Linked DNA regions of Tribolium castaneum. The protein of the gene in region 1 binds, or shares a complex with, the protein of each later gene. Links are inferred from orthologs where the notes say so. Each region holds a gene or a part of one and is shown on either strand. Other genes may lie near its edges.

Region 1 (12,231 bases):
AGCCTCAGACGTCTGACCCTGTTTTTTATCAGTCATTTCAATTAACCATACAATACAATAAGAGATTATCACTTTTTTAAGTGTCACATACTGATAAAAACCTCGCAAATCCTAATTGTTTAAAAATTTGCCAGTGACTAGGCAAACCTAGTCACACGTGTGTTTTTTGGGTTGCCTACGTCTAACACAAATCGTAGTTTAATAATCGAAATTAAGCAAAAACAGCAACGAAAATGCTACAAATGAACAGAAAAACACAAATACCTGTTCTTTACCTTCGTACTCGTCTTTGACTAGTTTTGATTGGTACTCCTGGAGCGCCGAAATCAGGATATTTCTCTCCTCACCGTTCAGTCTCAAGACCAGTTCCTGCGCTTGTAACTTAGACAAGCCCTGAGTGGTGCTTGTGGTCTCAGCGTGCCCGCCACTGCCCCCCAATCTACAGCTTGTACTAAAATTAAGTTTGATATGTTGTGTTTTCAGTGCATATCTACATGGAGCGAAATTCGTTAGCTTAGTTCGGGGCGTCCAAGTGATGCGGTGCGCCCCCCTGTTGATCACTTTTGCTAAATCTAAGTGTCTCACTAGTTTTGTTGCCATTGTGGGGGCTATTTATTTAGTTAGGGGGAGGAGTATCAACTTGTGGCCCGCACGGAGGGTGTCATTTTGTAACTATGGCACGACTCTAACACCCACACACTCCCAAACGCGGTTTTAGTTCGAAATTGTTTGAAAATTATTTAAATCACTCAGGAATCATCTGAATGATCCCACTCCACCTGTGAGTGAGTGAGTCTAGCGGGCTGACGTCACGTCACGAAACGGCGCCAAGTTTGAAATTGGGCCTATATTTTGCTATTTTTGGCACTTTTTCGTGGTTTTGTGGGGTTAGATTATAAATTAGTTGTGTGCTTGGGTCTGTGATGGCCACCAAGGGCGAAGTTGCAAGTTTGGTTGGTTTATTTAGAGTTTGAAAAAAATTGAGGTTAGGGGGCCACGCGCATGTCCGGTGACATTGCCAAGGTCCATGATTAAAAAAACACTGATTGCAAATCTGTGATTAATTATACGCAATTGCGAATCATACGACACGTTTTGGGGCTGTTCCAAGTGGGTAAGACAATGTCTAAGCTTCCGAAACGGGTAAAGGATAAGGTGAGACTTGGCCCCCTTTTGCAAAAATCACGCGTTTGTGGCTTTAGAGACACATAGGGGAGCACCAGAAGTACATTTCGCGGATCACCAAGACCCTCTATTACGGTAAATTCCCCAAGACAGATGAGCTGAGTCTGCCTGTAACAGGTGGGTGTGTTTGTTGTGTTGTAAGTCAGTAAAAAACGTGTTTTTGTTAGAATTAGCCGCAGAGCTGTTCTCCGAAGCCCAGAAAGGCCGGTCCTTGGACAGGCTGCATTGTGACGATGCTGCGAATATTTCAAGAAATGCCTGTGTGTCCCCTTGCTCTTTGGTTATTGCGATTTTGTATCTAGAACGCTTGAAAAAGACATGCCCTGAGTATCTCGAACGCACGGCTTCGTCTGACTTGTTTTTGGTTTCTTTGGTAAAATTTGAATCACAATAAATTAGCGAAAAAACATTAAGTGGTTTCTAGATGGTTTCATGCAAATTTCTCTATGATGACGGTGAGGCAGATGAGGTTTTTATGAACGAATGGGCCCTTTCAGGGGGCATGAGCGTCAAACAGTTGGTTCAGCTAGAAAAGGAGTTCCTCAAAGCTATTGTAAGTATTCAAGACTGTTTTAAACAATAAAAAAATTGTAAAAAAATAGTATCATACTTAGGGTTATCTCTGATAGTTACGGAGTTATTGCTCGATAAATCGCGACAAAAATTGGAAAAATCAAACAATAAAAAATCGAACATAAGGTCAATGAAACTATGCTAGAACGAGTTTAAAAAAAATTGAATCCCAATTTTTTTTTCCTTAGGACTGGGAAGTCTTCGTTACTGAGCTGACATTTTGGAAGAAACTGTCCGAAATCGAAACGACCTTGGCCCGCAACCAGGGTGGAAAACGCGGCTTTTACACCTACACCGAACTAGAGCGTCTTTTAACAAGCGTCGAATTGCGAAACCTCATCCAAAACATTTTGACCATTTCTGTGATCCTCATTACGGCTTACACGGCCGCCTTATTGACTTTATTGGGCTCTGTCTTGATTGTTAGCCACATTCCGGGGGCTTGTCTTCGCCCGCAAATCGAAGCGCCGCCCTCGGAGCCCCTCTACAACGAAACGAACCGTGTGAGCCCCCTCCATGTCGGAATTTTCCTCGCAAGTATTGAGAGTTTTCTGACACCGTTTTGCAACAAAAGTGAGACTCAAAACGTATCCTGGGACTGGTGGAGTGCCCCCACGATGACATGGCTCTACGAAACGTCGAAATTTGTCGAAGTTGAGGCTCCGACTTTGGGTTTTTTGGACTTGAGACGATTCTATAAGGATTATTTTTTGAAATTGGATTTGGAGGATCAAGTGCATAAGGAGACGAAAGTTAGGATTCAAGACCAGTTGGAGAGGTCGTGGCACGAAGAATGGACGGATACGATAGGTGATGGGTTTTATAACAGGTACCTGCATTACCTACAAAATCTCAAAGCCTGATTTGATTGGTCAATAAAACCAAACATTTGACACGATTGTTTATTCACCAGCCTACTCAAACTACAATTAATGGGTCTTTATCGACACTTGAAACAATAATATTGACTGAATTTTGCAACAAATCACTCAATTGTTTCTGGAAACGCCCCAAAAAGCCCCGTTCGGAATTACTATGTTCGCAGAGAATCACATGAACCCCGTTTTGCGTAGCATCCAGGACTTCATGGTGGGACATTTCCCCCGTTAGGTACAAATCGCTCGTGAGCCCCTTTAAAACCGAAGCCCCCGAACCGGCACACAGCCCCACGGTTTCAATCCTCGCATCTGAAAATCACTTTCGTTTCACTCAATTTCAAGGGCGTGGCTTACCTAAACCTTTGTTCCTAGCCAATGCGAGTCGCAGATGCCCCACCCCGACATGTTTTTTGACATTTGCGACCGCGGTTTCCACAGTTATGGGCGTGTCTAGTGTGAGGATGCGCCCCGCCCCTTGTCTCGGATTTTCCAATGGTTTGATTGGCGCAATGTTTTTAAAAGCGAACGCTGAGGCTAGCCAATCATTAACGCCCCCTTCGACACAATCCCAGCTCGTATGGGGCGAGTAAACCGCAATTTCATGTCTAATACATTGGATTACGATTCGTTCTTTCCAAGTCCTGTGACAAAACGATTAGTTTTGATTGGCTGTGTAATTTGGGGCGTACTTGTCAGAGACTGTTTTAAGGCCTTGAAAGATATTAGGGTGATAGGAGATAATGAGCCCCGCTTGGAAGTTTTTAGCTTCATTGACCACATCCTCAGTGAGGTCGTTTGTTAATAGAATTGTTTTGACCTGTTTGTCGGTCATTGGGTCCACCAGGAGCCCCACATTGTCCCAGCTCTCGGCAAGGGTCAAGGGGGCGTAGGATTGTAAAGTTTTGACGATTTCTTTGACCGACATTTGGGGGCCCGTGCTGTAGTAATTTTTAATCCGACTTAGGGCCGCCAACCGTCTTATTAACATCTGTGGAACGAAAAAGTAATCTCAATGGATGGGCGACAGTAGGCTGTGACGTTCAATTGTAAACAATTGACATAAACAGCCGCCTATCCATCAAAGAAAAACAAAGGAACGTCAAACAATTTTATTCAGGGATAAATTTCCACAATTTAATTTCCCCGTCGTCGCTGCACGACACTAAAATATCACTAAGAAGGGGGTTCCAGGCGACGCAGTTGACATCCTGGGCGTGCGCCCTCTCAATGCAGGTGACTTGGCTAAACGTGGGGGCCTCTAAGTCGCCCCCTTCCTCCTCTTTAAAAATTCTGATAGCGTCGTCACCGCAAGCGGTGGCGATCAAGTCACTTGAGTGGTTCCAAGACACGTCATAGATGGTTCTGTTGTGGTACCCCGACATGGTACACACACATTTCCACGTTTCCTCCGTATTTTGGCCCTTTTGCCAGATTTTCAACGTGGCGTCGTCGCTACACGACACAATCCTTGTCCCCGTTTTGTCCCAACTTATGCTCCAAACCGTTGACTCGTGCCCCTGTAAGGTGGCAAAACAAACCCAGTCGTTGTCTGACTGGTCCTCTTTGAACAACTTAACCGTGTTGTCGTAGGAGGCCGAGGCGAGGATATCGTCATGTGGGTGCCACACGACCTGCAACAACCTCCATAACAACAAAAATCGCCCCCTTGCTACCTACTTTCTTCACATCCTGTGTGTGCGCACTCAACACGGCCGCGCAATCATACTCATCCTCCTCGGCAATCTCCCAAATCCAAACCGACTTGTCACGGCTACAAGTGGCCAAAAATCGCCCCGACTTCGACCAGGAAACACTCTTAACCTCATTTTCGTGCCCCTCAAGAGTGGCATTGCACTCGAACTCGCCCGATTTCTTGTCCCAAATGCACGTAGTGGTGTCAAAGGAGGCCGAGGCGAGGTAATTGCCACAGGGGGACCACGCAATTTCCCGAATTGTGCGTTTGTGGCCATCGGTTAGAATTACTTTATTCGACCACTTCGAGTCCGAGTCTTTCGACCAGATTCGGATGGTCTTGTCTTCGCCACACGAGGCGAACGTTTGCCCCTTCGGGTGCCAACTCACGTCCCAAACGCGCCCCGTGTGCTTGCATAAAGTTTGAAGGGGCTCAAGCTTTGACATTTTGGGGTTAGGGTCGCGAACAACGACAGGGTGGTTAAAAAGTGGTCTCGGGGGACGCACGACGTGCCAAAAGGGGGCAAATGTACTTAAGGGGCTTACCAATGCCACAAAACGTGAAAAAATGGGTGATTTTATTACGTTTTTGCTTCGTTGAGTTGGCCGCACTGTCATTCAATGCAGCCAACGCATGATTATTATTGCGTTTTTTTGCAATTATTTACCAATAAAATTGCGTACTTAAGTGCAAAATCAATTATGTTTCTTCTAAATTAATTGTTCGCTTAATTTTGAATTTTTTTTTCGTGGTTGAATGTGCGATTTTTGTTTTTTTTTGCCGTCGGTGTGGCCAGCCTCATTTGACGTTTACATTTTTTGTGCCGTGAATCACAATCAACTTTGTTTATCAAAACAATCGGTTTTGTGGGTGTTTTGGGGCCTCTTGGCACTGTTGGGTTGATCGGACTCGCCCCCGCCCCCACAACCCATCATTACGATGAACCATGTTACAGTTTTGGAGGAAATCAAAAGGTGCGTAATTTCGTAATTGATGTTTGGGTTTTCCTAATTAGTGTTTCCAAAGCCGGCAATGACACGAAATGCGCAGCCCCAGCGGTGACGCCGCGGCCCCGGCCCCCGAAGCCGCCCCCTCTGGACCTCGATATCGGTGAGTACGAAATTGTAGAAATTGGGGTTATTGTGTCTTAAAGATGAGTTTGAGGCAACGAGGTCACGGCTATGTCGGACCTTGGACGAGGTTTTGGGCGATAAGGGGGCTCTGGGCTACTTTACCCAGTTTATGGAGGCGCGAAACGCCGCCAAATTTATCAATTGTTGGGGGGACATTGAGTCGTTTAAGTGTGAGATAAGTACGGATTGCGACTCCAGTGACACCCAAAATTCGAGTGATTCGTGTGAATCTAGTCTAGTTGAGGGCGCTGTTGCGATTTTTAAAAAGTACATAGCTCAGGAGTCCGCTCACAATGTTAAATGCCCCGAGTCAGTTCGTAACGAACTCGTTGAAAACATTTGTGACTTGGAGAAAATCGCCAGTTGTTTGGACCCCGTTCAGAGTTTCGTTACCGAAGTCATGGAGAAGGAGTATTTTGAGGCGTTTTTAGCCAGCGATTATTTCTGCAAATACCAGATCGATGTTTTGACGAGTGGCCAAGTGGCCCTTGACGATATTCTCTACAACGAAACGGCGCTTTTCTACTTTATGGAGTTTCTCGAACAGGAGAATTCGTGCAATTTGTTGGAGTTCTGGATCGCTGCCACCAACTTGCAGCAACATTTGACCAATCAAAAGGAGTTTTTTGACCCAATTGAGGCCCAAAATGACGCTGTTGTGCTCTACGATAAGTATTTTTCGCTGCAAGCCCATTGTCCGTTGGGTTTCGGCGATAAAGTTCGCTTCGAAATCGAACAAAATATTTGCGGGGAGAACGGACTTGTCTTGGATTGTTTCAAGTTGCCCTTGAAAATCGTCGAACAAGTGTTGGAGAAAAACTATCTCAAACCGTTTTTGGAGTCACAGTTATTTTGCAAATATCTGTCCGAGTTGATAAACACCGTTCAGTCTAACGATTATTTTAATCTCGAGAATAATCGGACGCTTTCGTCCGATTGCAGCAGCGAGAAGAGTTTCAGTACAAATAGCGCATTTCTAGCGTTAGAGTTAAACTTTAATAATAATAATTGTAAAAAGAAGGATAAAAACGCAGATATGAGTATCGACACGAGGCAGTTGTGCGACCCCGATTCGCTCTGGAAGAGGAGACGAACGCACAGATTATCCTGTGGGAGGATCACAGCTTTGGGTAAATTTGAAACTGATTTGGAGCCAGAACCTGATCGGAAAAGTTTCAAGTTTAAAAATGTTGTCAAGAAGTTTGTGAGTCTCGACGAGGATAAAAGGAAGGAAGAAATGGCCTGGCAAGTGGCCGAAATGATCGTCAAAGATATTACAAATGTTACTCTAAATCAGGAAAAACCATCATCTTCATTGTGATAATGTCAGAGAGCTCAAAAATGTTGTATGTACGGCGGCGTGTGATAGAAACTTCCCACTTTTTTTCAAAGGCTGTGTTTCCCCCCGTGAATTGAGTTGGTAGCGCTGCGATCGGATGGCTCTGTAGGTTAGTCATTGGATTTTATTATTTTTGTATGATTGCATTTGTTTGTAAATACTTCTTTAATGTATAAACATATTTATATAATAAAATATTTTAACTAGTTGGCGGTTTTATTTTTATATTAAAAGGCGTAACTCCTTGGATTGAAACATTTCCATTTCAGTCTTATAATGAATTAAACGTATTTGAAATTTAGTTAAAATTCTACAGCACGCCACTGAGATAAAATTGTGTGATCTCGACAAAAAAATCTTCGCAAAAAAGACGATTTGTCGTTGAAATATCTACCCTTTTTTGTCGCCGCTTACGAAATGATAAGGTCAGTGCGGGTTGTGTCTTTCTATGCGAGCGTTGTTACCGCAAGATTTATCGGATAGTGTAACTTAGTGCGAGTGCTTGGTGCAAAAATGTGGTCAAATACCGAATTTCCCGAATTGCGCAAGAGTCACGACACCTTTTTTCAATGTAAGGTAAGTCAGGAGTTACTCCAATCAAACATCTCGCAACAAACATTTTGGTTAAAAAGTGCGTTCAACCGTTTATTTAGGGTGTATCAAAAATACGTGTGTTAAGTTAATAAATCTCTAAAAGGGCCGTTTATAGAAAACTTTCTTAAAATGTAATTCGTTGTTAAAAAGCGCGAATGGACCAATCACATTTGTTCAGTTTGGTCACGTGACCGCTGATTTTGGTCACAAAATGAAAAACCCATTTAATTTGAATGATTTATTCAACTAAGGCGTTGAAAATAACATTTGGCGAAAACTCAGCTCGCTGCCGCCGCTGCCTGGAATGTGAATTATTCAATACTTAATTCTTTAATTGTTTGCCCTTTTTTAATGCTTCTTCTTTTTTTTGCTTACTTGTCTCCCGCCTCCTGGATAAGCAAAAATTAAAATTAACTGGACGAAACACAGCACAAACCCAGCCACGTTTTGAACCTTGAAACGTAGAAATTAATAATTTTCCCACAATTAGTTCAAACTCACAAGCATGAATTCATTTTTTAAAATAATGGCGTACAAAAGCCACGAGAAGGTCACCAAAGTCGCCATTAATGTTAGAACGAAGGGGATTTCAGAGGCGTCTTTTTTCTCGATGATTTCTTTCTGCGATTAAAAGTTAGGGGGCTAAAATGTTTTGTTTTGATTACGTACAACTCCGAGAAGGGGGCTCCCCAAAACGGCAAGCATCAGTATTGTGACAATCAATCCGTAGCGAAATTCGACCACTGAGGGGCTCTCATACTCGCAATAGCCCCACAAGACCGCAACAAAAGCCATGCTTATGGAGAGGGGCTTCAGGATTTGCTTCCACTTGTCATTCGAGTAAAAATAATAGACGATGCAGTAAATTACGTTAAGGACGATTGCGAATAAGTTTACTAGCAGCATGTTTTCGTCCCCAAGCATCAAACCATATTTCAGCATTGCCAACCCTCTTATAATAATTAAAAATTATTATTTTTTTCTTCTACTAAAGATAATTGTGACTTACAACATGATACCGCCCACAAACGGCATCGAATTCACACCGTCAGTGTTGCCTTTTTTGTAAATGTCTCTACAAATGAAAACCCCCGAGAAAAATTGCAGAATTGTGAGGTAACTGGCCACCGTCCCCACGGTGTCTTTGTGGGGCTGTAGCGTCTGCGAGAGTGACTCCATTGCGAACTAAACAACCTGAAACTAATTACGACTTAAATTAACGCTGAATTAAAAATTCTGATTAGAAATGTGACACTGACAATAATTATGAATTAAAAAATTATCCATGGTTATAGAACGATTAACATACAACAAAAGTGTGGTATTTATCACTGCACTAGAGGTTGATTGAGGTCAAATTCATTTGAACCCCTTCTTCCAAATTAAACAACAAGGAGACAATACTCGCCGTTTACGAATTCGCAGCAGTGTTATAAGATATTTTATTATCTAATCGCAATTTACTGTTAAGCCTTGACACGATGACAAGCAAATAAATCCACTTTTGAAAATGTAGTGATTACAATTTTTAGTACTGGATGCAATAATCAATCCAGGAATCGTTTAATTGAGATTGCCGCTCGCAATAATGAAGAATTAATGATCTTCTCGTCATGTCCTTGACTGTGACCTTCGTCCCCTTATCTCACAACCCCATCCTAACCTCACTTTTGACATGTGTCAACCTAACTTCAAAAAAATTGTGACCGACTAAAAGTGCTTAAAATATCGTCAATAATTGGAAAAAAATCACACTTCTAACAACAGAAATGGTGCTTATTGGTACATACCCCACAAAATAACGTTTCTATTCACAAAATGTGAATTAACTTTCTAATAAAAGTGTCAAGGTAAAATAATTTTTTCGCCAATTTTGCAATTTTCCGCACAATTGTAGGTGTTTGCAGTTTTAAAAGAAGTCATGGATTTGTGGAATGCAAAATATTTGAAGCCCCCACCCATCATTAATTGCAAAATCAGCACCAAAGAAATAGGTAAGAGGTCATTTTGATTGAAAAGCGCCAAATTGTTGTTTTGGACCAAGTCACGTTTAAACATTTATTTGGAAAATTAATACAAAGGGAAGAAAAATATTGTGAGGTTATGTCACACCAATCGAGTGATTTTTACGAAAATTGTGCAATTTTCCGGCACCAGTCGGGAAAAAACGCTAGTTTTTTCAAATTATGATAAATTTATACGCTATAGTTACGTAAAACGGGGCTTTATTGCGAAAAAAACTGTCGAGACGTTAGTGAGGTTGTCTTTATTTTTTTATGAATTTTATAAAGGACGCTTTATCTCGACATCGTAACTCGCTTTTGGCCTATTGAAACAATAATTTAAGTTATTTTGGCCCGAAATTCGATGGTAAAAGTGAGGTTATGTCACTTCCAATTTTTTAATTTCTGCAGATATTCGCCTTTTAAAAATTACGCTAACCGACGCTGTGGCCTTTTTCGACAACCAGCAGCACCTCTGCACCGAGGCAGCGCTCCTCTCACGCACCGTCTACCGCCTCAAAATGAAATTTCGTTCCTCTAAAGACTTCAAAGCCGTCGAAAAACTAAGTCGTGTCTTGCGCACCTATCTCCAAATGCAATTCTCCACGACGCTCAAATACGTCCTCGACTTGATCCCCCCAAATTACAAAGTGTTAAAAACATTTTTTCTGACTAAAAACATGATTGATTTCCTCCTAGTTCGCCTCCAGGGTTTGGGTAAAACGTTGTGTCGCGTTTTGGACACTTGTAAGGTGATTTCCGAGCTGACCTTGCAGCGGTTTCGTTTGGGTCATTTTTGGAAAATAGCGGCGATTGTTTATGCAATTACGGCGCGCATTTTTGTGATTACTAGGGGTATTTTTAAGTTTGTGTGTGAGTTGTATGGGAATTTGTTGCCGTTTTCGGGCATGTTGGCCAATGCAGGGGGGCAGTGGTTGCCCGATGGGTACGTTTTCCCTCCCAAATTGAAGGATTGGTTGGGGGTTGATTGGCTGAATTTGGAGGATAATGTGATTGAGATACCAGACGATGAGCCGAGTGTCGCATTTTTCAAGTTATTGGATGATTCCGATGATGAGGTCGAGTTTTGTGATGAGTATATTGTGGTGAACGACGAACCTTCAGTTCAGGAAGTCAAAGATTCGGATGTTGAATTGTGTGAAGATAATGTTAGCAAGGAAGAAGAATCGGATAATGAGGTTGATGTCGGGGAATTGGTCATAGTTTGTGATAATAAAGATAAGGCACAGATTCATGACGATGTTGATGTTGGGGATCTTGTCATAGTGTGCGACAATTCGAAAAATGGGACGAAAGGTCGGAAGAGACCTTTGGAAAAGCGCGAAAATTCAAGTGTCATTGTTTTAAATGATAGTGTATCAGAACCGAAACGGAAGAAGAGGAAGCGCAAGCGCAAGAATCAAATAAATAACTAATCTTGTTACCACATTTGTATTTTTTGTTACGAATAAAGAGTATTTTTGAAAATGTTGTTTGGAATTAAACTTTGTTATACACGACGATGAAGATACAGAAACAATCTCTTCATCGTCTTGTATAATAACCAATAACTTTTTGACCTTTACTACGTATCATAACCGAAGGCTGGTCAGAAGTAGGACAAATTTTTAATAAATACATATTTTATTTGCACACACGACACGCTTATTTCTAATACATAATAACACGAAGCCCTTTCCAAAATAAATCTCGTTATTGCTGAAAATCACAAGAAATGCAAATGAACGATAGATTAGATAAGCGTATGTTAACTCTTGCCCTAAAACCAAACTTAGTTCGCTGACCTGGCGGTTGAGTAGGCCATGGCATAAATTACACCCCAAAGAAAGCACCCATTTATCAGTAGACAAATATATGTTTCCTTTGGTCGTAAATATCGACAATGGTCTCTTCTCATTTTTCCCCACTTTCGTTTTTTATCGTGTGGGCCAACCAACAGGCCAGAATCACTCCAACGATCTGAAATTTTATGAAACGAATTTTTTTTGGGTGAGAAACGTACCTGAATGAAGGCAATTCCGATTCCAACGCCGATTAGGATGTTAGTGTTTTCGTGGATTTTTATTTTGAGTTGGTCGTAACAACCGGTCTCGTATAGGTATTTGCCTCTGGCGACGTTAATGCAGTAGGAGTTGAGGGTGGAGGACAGCTCGTCGTCCACGTGACAGCAGGAGTAGGGCAAGGGCTGGCCCTGCCAGTCGTCGGGGCCCTCCACCCCGCAACATTTCAGCTAAAATTGGCAAAAATCGAAAAAAGATAGAAACCCTTTTCCACAAAAAATCGTAAAATTTGTCCAGAAAAAAAATTAAGGCAATTTTAGGTTTTCTGATATTTATGTACATTTTCTGGTATATTTATGTACACGCCGAGTTATAGCTATGATGGCCGTTAAATGAGTGATTAATCGAGTTACACACGAAGTGGTGATAAAACAAATGCCATCGCCACAGCCGCCCTGGAATAATTTTCTTGTTTGTTACCTTCAAGTGTGCGTTGTCCCACGAGATTTTATCCATTTCATTTTTCGAGTAATTATCAAGCGATTTTTTCAGCGCACTTTTGAGCGCATCCCCAAAATCGTTTTTGTAAATCGCTGCTGCGATTCCGACTGCCATTTCGACGAAAAAAATGATCAAAAGACAAACAGCAAACTGAAATATCCAATATAAATTACTATTTCACGTCTAGTCATGAATTATAGATAATTCACCAACACGTTTAAGTGACACAAAATCGATTGTTACAATTTATTTGTGCAGCGTCACACACAATTAAATTAATAACAATCGATTTTTTAATTAAACTCACCGCA
Region 2 (13,227 bases), on another chromosome or scaffold:
TAATTGAAAAAGTGGCAATAAAATTGTCGTAAAATAATTCAGATCGAGCCGGTTTATTGAGCAATTTGTTAATAATTAATACGTGACGTCTGCGATTAGCGAACGATTTTCTTAAGGGGGTCGCGTACGTCACCAGGCGGCGCCACCAACGCATTTATAAATTTGGTAACGAATGATTATTTTTAACCGATGGCTGGAATTTTCGGAATTTCGAACGAGTGAGGTGATTATTTATGAAGTGGTGGAATTAATTTGCACGACACTTATGCATATTTGGGACCGGTTCGGAGGATTATACGCCCGAGAGTGCCACTGACCTAGGTCACAAGCTTTTTTGCACAGAGGAAATTCATCAAAATTATTACAAATGATAATAAAAAAATGTCAATATTAATGAACGATCTTTTTACAAAAACAGGAAAAATAAAAACATCATTTTTATTGCAATAAATTTCACCAACTACGAACTACGTTTTGTCAAAAACTTAAAATTGTCTGTTACACAAAAAATCAGTAAAGTTAATTAACTACTTTGTTGTAAAATTAATTCACTTTTCCGTAAGAATTAATATTTTTCATCTTAACCTAGAAAATAAATCACTGAATCGAAAAATCGAAATATATATATATATATATATATATATATATATATATATATATATATATATATATATATATATATATATACAGGTATTAGTACTAAAATCAGGCATTTCTGTATTATCAATTTATTAAAAATTTTTCATTCAATTAACAATTTTTTTTGTATAATTTGCCACTAACTAATTTTTCCACAACTCCTGAAGTACTGTTTCTAGTTTTGTTATTATTTACTAAAATTTAAGAGTGAAAAAGTAAGTCATTTTTTTAAAATAATGCTTTAAAAAACCACAGGCTGTTCCGTCTAAACCAACATTAAAAGTATAGAAGGTTCTAATAAAGATATTTATCTGAAAGTTGGTACCCAGCCATAATCCGTTAAGTTCTGCTCAATAAAAATATTTTTAAGATGGCGGCACTTCCGGCTATACCGGAAGTCGCAATCACCTTTCTTATTTTAAATGGAAAGCTATGTTTTTCACTACGTTTTTGGATTAGTTGAGTTATTTTAAGGCCGTTTTTATCAGCTTTCCCTAGACCTAGGTTTAACCGTTTCCGAGATATTTAAGATTTTTTGAAAATTTTTGGATTTGCACCTGATACGTAAAAAATCGGTAACTCTCTTAGTTTTAGAGATTTCTAAATCATATTTGGAGAATTAAAAAATGAAAGCCTATATTTGTTCTCCAGTGTGTTCAAAATTGGAAAAGAAATTAACAAACCCAAAAATTTTAAGGTTAAATTTGGACAACTTCAAGTACCCATAACTTAAGTTTTTCAAATGGGATGTTCTAATTTTTATTTTACTAGATTGAGGAGAATTTTTTTCTGGATCGATCTGTATTAGCATTCCCTATACCCATCTGTGATAATTTTCAAGTTATGTTGTTTTTTTTGAAATTGTAGACAATTTCATACTAACCACAGTGATTTATGCATATTTTGCCGTAAAAACATTTCTGATTAAACAAACGTCGAATTCTGTTGTTCGTCCCGTGAAAACAAAATAAATTTAAATATTGGTTTAAAAAACTTAATATTTTTTTCTTGTTTTCATCAGTTTTTGAAAAAAGAGCTGATAAATTTCTCAATCCTCACAAAAAGTTATTGTAACTTGAAAACTGTTAAACAAAAGAAATGCTCATACAGATCGATGCAGAATTAAATTGTCTACGATTTATTGAAATAAACCTTGTGGCTTTAGATTTGAAAAAATTGAGTTATGGGTGTTTAAAGTTCTGAAAATTTAACTTTAAATATTCGGGGTTTGGTATTTTTTTTTTAGAAATTTGAAAACACCAAAGGAAAGATCTAGGCTTCCTCTTTCAAATAAGTTAAAAAATATTTCCAGATTTTTAAAAATAGCAGAGTTATCAATTTTTGAACTCGAAGGTGCAAATTCCAAAAAAAAACCCTAAATATTTCGTAAACAACTAAATTTAGGTATCAAAATGCTTATAAAAACTACCTTAAAATAACTCTAGTAATCTAAAAACGTATCAAAAAATAAAGTTTTCCATTTAAAATAAGAAAGTTGATAGCGACTTCCGGTATAACTGAAAGTGTCACCATCTTGAAAAAGTTTGAAAAATTCATATAAAATATGGAAAATTAAGAAATAAAAAGCTGAGAATAAGCTTGAAAACTAGGAAACTACGAGATTGAAAGACTGAAAGCCTGAGAATATAAAAAATGAGAAGTTTGTTAAAAGTTGAATAAGTTGAAAAAGTTAAATAGAACACCCAGTTTTTTGTTTTTTTTTGTAAATAGAGTAGCAATCGACTTTGAAACATTTTACCTTTAATTAGACGTAACGTGTAAATTTATTTTTTTTATTTTCTCAATTACGGCAAAATTATTAAAAAAAATTAAACTACTTTGAGTTAAATCCACGTAAAATGATCCGGGGAATCGACTGACGTCGAGCAAATTGCAACGTTCATAATGACTTTTAAGTTATCAATACATATAAATTTTAGCTATTTTTTCCAAAAAATCGACGTTTTTAAGAAATCTAGAAGATTCTAAAGCCATACTAAAGTCCTTAAAACTTTGCTAAAAATTTGATTATTTTAAACATTATTTAGGCAGTTCATTAGAATTTCGGTCGTAATTTTGGCTCTGTTTAATGTATTTTTATTGTATCTGAAATTGTTTACTGTGTTTTGGAATTTTCACTCGAAACATTTGGAAAAATTCAGATTATTTTAACTAGATCTAGCAACGTGAAATAAATTAAACATTTGCTATCAAACAAACAGACTAAAATTGGGTCATAGTCTAATAAGATATCATTGCAAAATTTTAAACTTTTATCAACAAAGAACAAACGTTACGATTTTTTGCCTCAACTTTTTCGTTACTAAATGCCAATTGTATCAACGTGTCTCAGGTCTGTGAAAAATGGTGGATGCGCCACAATGCAGCTAAAAATAAACTGAGTGCAATAAATCGCAAGGGTTTAGTGTGTCGTTTTTTTTAAATGTGTCAAAGAGAAGGCGGATGAAGCGTCCGTTCTATCTATTAATAAATAAAATCTCGCCGAGTCATAAAATTTATTTTGTGAATAAGTAGAATTCCAACGTGATTATCATTGATTTACTCCTGTGTTTACGTTCAGCGACGTCGAAAATTCCTAATAATTTAGCGCCGCAATGAGAATGTATAAGAGTTTCGGACGTTCGTGTGTAAAATATGTATATTTAACTCGATTTATGGGTTGATGTTTTTGTATTCCTTGATCCAGAAGCGATGTATTTACACAATTTACAGCACGCTTTACATTTTATGAGCGATAATTTGATCGATTTGTTGTGGAAACACGACACCGATAACAATATTTAGATGGCATAAAGGAGACACAAGTCTGAGGACTGATCTAAATTTTCAATTGATAACTGAAACGTAAACAATGAATGAGGTGGACAAGCTGGGCTTTATCTAGAGTCAACAGGTGCTGACACAAACTCAAAATTCATTTAACAAATATTCAAACTTTTGATTTTTTTAAATGAAAGAATCATTTATTTACTTATAAATAATTAATTAAATTAATTAAACATTATTAAAAAATAAGGTGTTATTTTACTCCCCTTACTTCATTTTTGTGCGAAATTGCATAAAAAATAAAGCAAAAAAATCACAAAATCGGATCGAAATAAATTTAATTTCTACGATTATTTTGCCCGATTCGTTTTTGGATAAGAAATTCATTACACAAAAAGTTAAAACAAATGTGTTTTTAAACTTGTCTTGAGATTTCGCTAGAGATGATAAAAAAAGAGCACATTTAGTCTAGCACTTGTTTTTTTCAATTGTTTTAACGCACATTCCAGTCAGAAACCTTATTATTTCACAAAATACTCTTAAAAAGAAGCCTTAAAGTCATTAAAATAGACCAAAAATGGCAAAATTTTTTCGATTAATTTCGCTTGAAGTGAAATTTATTCAAAAATAATTGTGAGAAACAGAGAAACATTTCGCAAAATTTATTCGAATAAAATTTTTTTTTTAGATTATTTGAACAAAAACTGATTGTTTTGCAAGATTCCCTCACAAAATCCAGAAATGTACAAATTAGGTCAAAAATCTTTACATATTTTTTTATTTTGTATTTTTATTTTTTTAGACAACTTATAATGGAAGATGAGAAGGTGGAATAAGACGCTCCTAGACCTTTTAGTTTCGCCGTAATCAGCGTTTGAAAAGTGAAAAAAATGTCATAATTTTTGCGTTTTTCTCGGAAACTATAATACTAAAAATTGTGAATGTTTTCAGAATTTTTCGACCATTCCTAAATTAAATATTATTAAAATATATTGCTTAATCTAAATTATTGATATAGATGATACGTCGTATGATTTTATTTATGACGGAACTCAGCTTATTTTATTTATTAAACAGCAAAAGTATGTACTTTATATGCTTAGGCAATAATGTCAGGATGACTTGATTAAATAGAAAATGGTTTAACAAATTATGATTTGTTAGTGTTAATTTTTATAATAAAAAATATTCACAATAATGTAATGTTTTCTGATATGACCTAGTCCTAGCTAAATGTGTTGTTTTTTATATTATATTTTTGCACGTTTAGAAAAAAAATATAATAAAAATTCATATTACTATTTAATAATAATTCGGCTCACTACGTTGGGTTTTTTGAATTGATTAATTATCTTTTGGAACTAGTGTCATTTTTTTTATGCACTAAACAACATTCATCGTTCATTGTTCGTTTTAGAATTATAATTTTATGAAGCGAATTAATATTAATCGTAGAAAAATTCTACAAAAATTCACATGTAAAAAAAATAATTAAGTATGAAAAAGAAAAAGAAACAGAAACAGAAACAGAAACAGAAATAGAAATAGAAATAGAAATAGAAATAGAAATAGAAATAGAAATAGAAATAGAAATAGAAATAGAAATAGAAATAGAAATAGAAATAGAAATAGAAATAGAAATAGAAATAGAAATAGAAATAGAAATAGAAATAGAAATAGAAATAGAAATAGAAATAGAAATAGAAATAGAAATAGAAATAGAAATAGAAATAGAAATAGAAATAGAAATAGAAATAGAAATAGAAATAGAAATAGAAATAGAAATAGAAATAGAAATAGAAATAGAAATAGAAATAGAAATAGAAATAGAAATATTTAATTTCAAAGATCTTAATTCTGCGATTAACTGATTATATCGGGTGGGTCAAAAGTCGTGGATAGGCTCTTAAGAGCAGCTAGATGGAGCTATACAGAACACTATTTTCGATAAAAAAATCACAAAACCTTTCATTTGGCTGAAATTAAAAACAAAAAATGGCAACGCCGTACAAGTACACCTATTTTTATACATTTAAAAAAATATTAACCAAAAGTATTACCATGTAACATTACTAAATGTTGCCAAATTAAAAAAAACACCAATAACTTAAAAACAATTTTTCAGAAAATTGGGTTTTAATAATGACAACAATACCTTAAAACTTTGAACTAAACAATATTAAAGTATCAAAAGGTAGCATAATTAATTCGCTATTGTTTATATTTATTTTTGGCCATAAAACTTGGAACATCCTGTACAGGCTACAGGGTGCTCAAAAACTGGCGCACCAACTCAGTGGTACGTTATTGAGAAGCAAGTCCATATTACGGGAAAAATGTTGAAAAAATTCCCAAAGTTATATTTTAAAAAATCTGGAGCTACAAACTTATTGTGTTAACTTCTTTAGTTTTCATTGTTTTTTTATATTTTTATGTTTCATACCAGGTAATCGTTCCGTAACAAAACGATGAATAATTATTTTAAAATTTACTATCAGATTTTAGCAGTTTTTTTAATTTAAAATTCATCCAAAAAATCACAATGTGTAGATGTGCCAACACTGGGAATTATTTCCTAGGAAACCGTTTCAAAAATAATTTATTTTTATTGTTGCTCAAATTCTATTACGATCACGACTGTTGGGCAACGTTGCCACATATCACTTATTTAAAATTCGTTATTTATCAATAACTTTAATACAAATAGTTTTTTTACTATTTTTACCATTATATGTAACCACTTCTCTACCACACACCATTGAGTTGGTGCGCCAGTTTTGGAGCACGCTGTATATACTATATACATGCAGGTAGATTCAAAAAATCTCTCGGATGGTGATAAAGCACAAAGTGACTTTAATTAGTTTAGAAACATCAATATTAAAAGCTACACCCATAAATGCAATTCCATTAAAAAAAAACATACTCGTAAGTTTGAATTGTAGCAAATCTCAAAAACATCTTGTATGCCTACTTGAAAATAATTTTGGATTAATGAAAAAAAATAAATTTTCTTACATTTACATGGGACAGCCTGTGTTGGTAATTTTTTGGTCACCTGTATTTTTCTAAGGAAAATAAAACTTAATACTTACGTTTCCATCAGTCGGCATCGAAAAAATCCTGACACAAAAAAACCCACTTACCACTGAGCACTAGGTAGTGAGCGTTTGCGCGTCCAAGGGTTTGTTGGGTAAGTGTGTGAAGGTAAGGTAAGAAGGGCCTGCGGCTTCGGCGCCAATCTAAATGAGGAAGTGCAGTCGTTCGTCGGGCGCCACGTCCTCCTCGCAATAATAAATCTCGTTCTGGCCGAATGCATCTAATTATCTTGGTGGAGTTGCACACACGTTGTACCCCGGGGACACCGCTAGAGATATGGCGGGCAGTGGCGCCGCGCTCCACTCAAGAAAATTTAGGCGCCACCGTCACTCAGTCACACATTGACCGGCTCAAAGCCAACACCAAGGGCCTCCTCCGATGACAACCGCCTTCACCATGTCGGCCCTGCTGCTCTCCATCCTGGGCCTCTCCGTGGGCATCCCCCACTGCCCCATGTGGAAGGAGATCGCGCCCTGCACCTGCCGCATGGACTCCACCAAGCTCACCACCATCCACTGCGACAAGATGACCTCCTACGACCAGGTGGTGCGCCTCCTCAAGGGCCACTTCGCGCCCGAGGACCGCGTCTCGCTCAAGATCTCCTTCAGCAAGCTGGACGACCTGCCCTTCAGGGCCTTCAACGAGCTCAACATCTCCATCGAGAACCTCAAGCTCAACCACGACGGACTGGGGTAAGGGTGATAAATTGACGTAGTGATGAGGATGACAAATGACAGGCGAAACAAACAGATAACCTCCGACCTTCTCATGTTTCAATTACAGCGTCGCCTGCTCGATTATTATCGCTGGTAAATTCATTTTCCCGGAATTACTCGCTAATGGCACGATATCGTCGCTTTAATGAATGAAATCTCTGACATCGACGCGGTTTTTGGAAGCGCTGCTGATAAAGACATTCGCAAGAAATAACAAACGGTAATTGATTTGATGATTGCTTCTCTGAAGCGACTTTGCGGACTTAAATCGGCACACGTTTTCACTAAATTGACCATAATTGCACTTTTCCTTTTGGATTTACTCGGAATTCGGACGTTTATACAAATTTGGACAACCCTTATTAAGCAATTTGGCACTTAGTCAAGCTTTTTTCATTTATTTTTTCACTTTCCAATATTAAAAAATGGATAATTTTGCTGTTTTAAAGTTTGAAAAGCCCTAGATAAATCTGTTTTCATATATGATTGTGTTGTGTACTATTGACATATTTTTAAATTTTAGACAGCTCTAGTACAGTTGGGTACAATTTGCTACTGACTTTTTGACACTTATTGCGTGTGCATAATTTATTCTGAGCTCATATTTTATTTTTGATATTACTATATTTTTTTAATTTGGACAACCCTAATAAAAAGAATATATTATATAATTTATTTTTGACGTTTGAACTAACAAATCAATGTTATGTTCTTTAAAACATTAATTTGATATTGACAAACCTAACAATAATTTTCTTTTCATTTGAAATATTATAAATTAAAACATACACGTTTTTGATGTTGAAAATGTTCAATATACTTATAATTTGAGATTTTGTTACGAATTTGCTAAACCTTAGTCTTCTCAGAATTTAAAATATTAAATTTAATTAATTTGATATTTTTCAATTTTGGACAGCCTTAAGATAATCTTTTTTTTGGACAACCCTTAAATGTTGTTGATAATTTGTCCCGTTTTTATATTTCTACTGCAAAAAAATGTTTAATTTAAATTTTTTATTTGAAGTCCCTTAAAAAAATTGACGTTTTTTACAATTTTGGACAGCCTTAAGATAATGGAATAATCTTTTTTTGGACAACCCTTAAATATTCTACATAATTATTGTTGATATTTAAACAATTTGTTCCGTTATTATATTTCTACGGCAAAAAATGTTTAACTTAATTTTTTTATTTGAACTCCCTTAAAAAAATTCACATTTTTTTACAATTTTGGACAGCCTTAAGATAATGGAATAATCTTTTTTTTTGGGCAACCTTTAAATATTCTACATAATTATTGTTGATTTTAAACAATTTGTCCCGTTTTTATATTTTCTACGGCAAAAAAATGTTTAACTAAATTTTTTATTTGAACTCCCTTAAAAAATTCACGTTTTTTACAATTTTGGACAGCCTTAAGATAATGGAATAATCTTTTTTTTTGGACAACCCTTAAATATTCTACATAATTATTATTTTTATATATTTACCCCAAAAAATTACATACATTTGAACTTCCTCAAAAAATCTCACTTTTTTGTGATTTTGTAAGTCTTTAATTTAATGTTTTCTTTAACAAATTTCGAGAACCTTGGCAATAATAACTATTTACTGTTACTTTTCTTTTATTTGGAATGTTTTTATAATATCTTTGAAATAACAAATCATAGAAACTTTTTTCGTCTATATATTTATATTAAGTAATAATAAGTATAAATAACATTTTGTAACTAACATTTGTACCTATTTTAAAACCCTAATTTAGCATTAAATTTTAATTAATTTGACATGATTTTACAGCCATAAAATACTCGAACAATTATTTTCTTTATTGGGAGAATCTTAAAACCATCTTACGTAATAACAATTGTCTAACTGTCTATTTCTGCCAAAAAAGATGTTTCAAAAAATATTTGGACTTTATTCAAAAACTCATTTATTAATAATTACTTATCTTTTATGTAACTAATTATTATTTTCTTTGACTAATTTTAGGAAACATTAATTTTAATTTGGAGTGTTTTATAAGAAAAGTTCTGAAAATGTCAAATGATACATCTGGACAGCCCTGGAACAATGTCATATAATTAATTTTTGACATTCCTTCACGTAGTGGAATTATTTTCTTCAACATCTTCGTACTTTTATCTTTTTTTTTTCAAAATTTGCCTTAAAAAGTCAGATCATACTTTGATATTTTTTTAAAAATATGGATGGCCCTAAAATAGTCCACATAATTTATTATTGGCCTCTTTATTTTTTTTCGTTTTTTTGTTTCTAACCATATTCGTTTTTTTTAAATTTGTACGCTCTTTACATTTTTTTGTCAAAATTAAAAACTTTTGACAATTTTTTTAAATTTGGACAACCCTAATTAAGTTAAAAAAATTTTTTTAGTTTTGTTTGGACCTTATGTAATCATATTTTAAGAAATCACAAATTTTGGTGTCACTTGTGTCTAATTTTTTATTTATGTTATATATTTTTAAACACTAATCTGAATTAAACTCCGAAAATCGTTACCTTTGACTGTTTCAGATGTTCTAAGTGATAAAAGAGAATAATTTTATGACCACGGAAAATAGAATTATAACATTTTTCTAAGCAGTTATTTTTTTATTTGGACACAACACTGCTAAAATTGACCTTAGGCTGGTCCAGCTAATAGGAAAAGTGATCCAGATTTAAATGATTTGACCTAATTTTTGATTGATATTTCGTCAAGTGTTGGCAACAATTTCGATCAGTTAAAGTTTGGTGGAATTTTGCATTTTGTTCTCTGATTTGTTATTTATGAACAATTGACGTATTCCGATTTATAAATCTTTGATCGCATCAATGCAAATAAAAGGTTAAATGGGTTAATAGGCAAATGTCGAATCAATTTGGAGCTGCAAGCACCTGTTATTGGCTTGATAACGAATAACAAACTGACAATGATTGTGGAAATTGTGGAGTAAATCAAATTGGAAATGTGGCAAAAACTCGATGTAAACATGTTAATTCGGGCGTTCAGATTGACCATTGTGTGTACTATAATGGGACGGTTGAAACAGATGAGTATATTTCCAGAGATGTTGGCGCCATCGGCTATTAGACCATTTGATCAGATAAATTTTTAAACGGACGTGCTCGCAATAGCAACGAGACGAACACAAAAAATACGTGCACTGGCTTTTAACAATTTTCTGGCTTTATATAATTTATTACAGATCGAACTTTGATTTTTATTACAACCGCTTTTTATTGCTCGATAAAAGGTTGAGAAAACTCATAATCATGCTGCAAACCTTTGGTATAGAACTGTTTACCGATTTCGAAACACGTGACAAATTATTGCGACTATCACGAACAACAAATTCATTTCAAACTTAATTTCACTAAAGCTTTAAAAATATATTGACCTGAATTTTAATTTTTTTTTAAAGAGTTTTGACAATGACAATTGTTTTGACAATTTATGAATATTTTTCTTCGTAATTTATAATGTTTTGAATAATTGTTATGATTGTTTCAGTTTTTTTTATTGCTATTTCTTTTATATATTGTATTGTATTGTTTATACAGGGTGCTCAAAAAATGGCGCACCAACTCAATGGAGTGTGGTAAAGAATTGCTTACATATAAAGGTAAAAATAGTAAAAAAATTCTTTGTATTACAGTTATTCATAAATAACTAATTTTAGGTAAATGATATGTGGCAACATTGTCTAACAGTCATGATCGCAATAAAATTTGATCATCAATAAAAATAAATTATTTTTGAAACGGTTTCCTAGGAAATAACTCCCAGCGTTGGCACATCTACAAACTGTGATTTTTTTGATGAATTTTAATTTTTTAAATTAAAAAAACTGCTAAAGTCTTATGGGAAATTTAAAAATAGTTATTCATCGTTGTGTTAGGGAACGATTACTTAGTGTGAAACATAGAAACATTAAAAAATAATGAAAACTGAAGAAGTTAACAAAATAAGTTTGTAGCTCCAGATTTTTTTAAATATGACTTTAGGAATTTTTTCAAGATTTTTCCCGTGATCTACACATGCTTCTCAACAACGTACCACTGAGTTGGTGCGCCATTTTTTGAGCACCCTGTATATTGTAATGACTACTCGTCCATTTATTACATTGTCTACTATAGATTAAAAAATCTGATGGAAATAAATTATATTATTATTTATTATTATTATTATCATCATTATTATTATTATTATTATTATTATTATTATTATTATTATTATTATTATTATTATTATTATTATTATTATTATTATTATTATTATTATTATTATTATTATTATTATTATTATTATTATTATTATTATTATTATTATTATTATTATTATTATTATTATTATTATTATTTCTCAATACAAGTCGCCAAATTATTTTTAACAGATTTTAAAGCAATTTTAAGCCTCGATGAGTCTAATTCGAAGAATAAAATGTTGTATTCAGCTCGTCGAATAAAATTTATTACCATTTAAACTGTCTTTTTAGAAACATTAACAGTTAAGTGTCTTCTCTGATAACTCAAAAAATATTCGACAATGTACATTAAACGATCAATCAAAAAATTTTCAAAACTGTAAAATTTACTGAGGTTTTTGGCGTTTTTTTTTGACAAAATTTAGTGAAATAAATGAGTTTCTAACTGAAAAATTAACGACAAAATTTTTCAAAAGTTTTGTGGTTCTGGTTGAAAAAGTGCAGAAACGTTTTGAAAACAAAAAAACGTGTGCGTTTTGATCTAACTTGGTATTTTTTGAATTCGAATTTCGCGGAATGAGTGAATTTCTGATAAAAAATGCACTAGAAACTAAAATAAATGTGCAAAAATGCTTGAAAAAGTTTGGATATTTTTGACTAAAAATTCACAAATTTGGTGATTTTTTATATTTATGACGAAATTCGGCATAAATTGCGGGTTTTTGAGTCAAAAATGTGCTGAAAATAATAAAAAACGATAAAACAATGCCATTAGGAATGATTTTTTGACTTTATTTTTTTATAATTTTTCGAAATATGAGATCTTCGAATTGAAAAATCAACTTACATGTTTGAAAAATCTTGAAACAACGTCTTATTTACCTTGGTTTCGTGATTTTTAATGAAATTTGGTGGAAAATTTCAGTAACAAATTGAAAAAAAGTTTTAGCCTTTTTCTCTGTTTTGTGTTTTTCGAGTTAATTTGGCGGCTTTTGATCTAATTTGTGCAAAATATTCACGTTTTCAGTTTTTGCTTCAGAACTGTAAAATTTACTGAGGTTTTTGGCCGTTTTTTGACAAAATTTAGTGAAATAAATGAGTTTCTAACTGAAAAATGAACGATAATGTCGGACGAAATTTTACAAAAGTTTTGTGTTTCTGGTTGGAAAAGTGCCAAAACATTTTGAAAACAAAAAAACTTGTGTTTTTTGACCCAACTTGGTATTTTTTGAATTCCAGTTTCGCGGAATGAATTTCTGACAGAAAAATGCACTAAAAACTTAAAAGAAATTAAAAAACAATGTGTTTTTTGCAAAAATGCTTGAAAAACGGCGCAAATTTAACAATAGTGTGGATATTTTTGACTAAAAATTCACAAATTTGGTGATTTTTTAGATTTATGACAAAATTTTTAAAATAAAAAAATATTAAAATAGTACATTATTCCACGAGTTTTATAAGACGTTCTATTGTGGCATGAATGATTTTGGAGCACGACGAAGGAGTGCCACAATTAAGTCTTATAAAACGAGTCTAATATACTATTTAGAATAGAATAGAATATAATTATAAATAAAATAGAATATAAAATAATTCTATAAAATATAGAACAGAATAGAAAATAGAATAGAAAAAATAATTAGGTACTACTTGATTCTTGATCACTGCGTGAGCTATTTTGTACTATATCTCAACCAACGCTTGCTATTGAATAATGTATTGGTTGATAAAAAGCTCTGAAAATTTTAGGCCGTTTTTTTGAAAAAAAATAG

Evidence for each region.
Region 2: the proteins of Ciao1 (region 1) and galla-2 are in contact, whole or in part, in a crystal structure (PDB 6TBN), measured with the Drosophila melanogaster proteins. The link is inferred for Tribolium castaneum from reciprocal best matches to the Drosophila melanogaster genes Ciao1 and galla-2. Residues at the interface, in NP_610996.1 of Drosophila melanogaster: Arg16, Trp18, Arg60, Thr61, Arg63, Phe79, Glu105, Lys107, Arg123, Asp150, Lys152, Tyr168, Asn170, Ser195, Thr196, Trp198, Thr216, Ser248, Gly249, Gln250, His251, Ser252, Arg253, Tyr256, Gly272, Asp273, Asp274, Arg277, Glu299, Gln304; in NP_648416.1 of Drosophila melanogaster: Ser74, Pro106, Lys109, Thr111, Ala124, Lys127, Gln128, Asp131, Lys132, Glu133, Arg134, Ala136, Ala137, Glu140.

Annotation. Positions count from the first base shown.
Region 1 is NC_087395.1:25,658,215-25,670,445, forward strand, and holds Ciao1 (probable cytosolic iron-sulfur protein assembly protein Ciao1), read right to left. Parts: upstream 5,093-12,231; 5' UTR 4,947-5,092; coding exon 4,314-4,946; intron 4,268-4,313; coding exon 3,746-4,267; 3' UTR 3,732-3,745; downstream 1-3,731. Other genes in the region: uncharacterized protein LOC660444, read right to left, coding at 276-600; protein CNPPD1, read left to right, coding at 1,123-1,155, 1,203-1,302, 1,353-1,558, 1,610-1,738, 1,947-2,621; pkaap (A-kinase anchor protein 10, mitochondrial), read left to right, coding at 5,276-5,303, 5,356-5,439, 5,483-6,783; sugar transporter SWEET1, read right to left, coding at 7,744-7,848, 7,897-8,016, 8,065-8,347, 8,405-8,574; uncharacterized protein LOC135265320, read left to right, coding at 9,317-9,389, 9,810-10,834; 23 kDa integral membrane protein, read right to left, coding at 11,191-11,649, 11,900-12,070, 12,228-12,231. UniProt on the Drosophila melanogaster protein: Essential component of the cytosolic iron-sulfur (Fe/S) protein assembly machinery. Required for the maturation of extramitochondrial Fe/S proteins.
Region 2 is NC_087394.1:1,670,646-1,683,872, forward strand, and holds the start of galla-2 (MIP18 family protein galla-2), read right to left. Parts: upstream 6,675-13,227; 5' UTR 6,540-6,674; coding exon 6,522-6,539; intron 1-6,521. Other genes in the region: ltl (insulin-like growth factor-binding protein complex acid labile subunit), read left to right, coding at 6,904-7,217. UniProt on the Drosophila melanogaster protein: Component of the crb-galla-Xpd (CGX) complex which is essential for proper mitotic chromosome segregation in early embryos. The CGX complex is also required for cell proliferation in developing wing disks.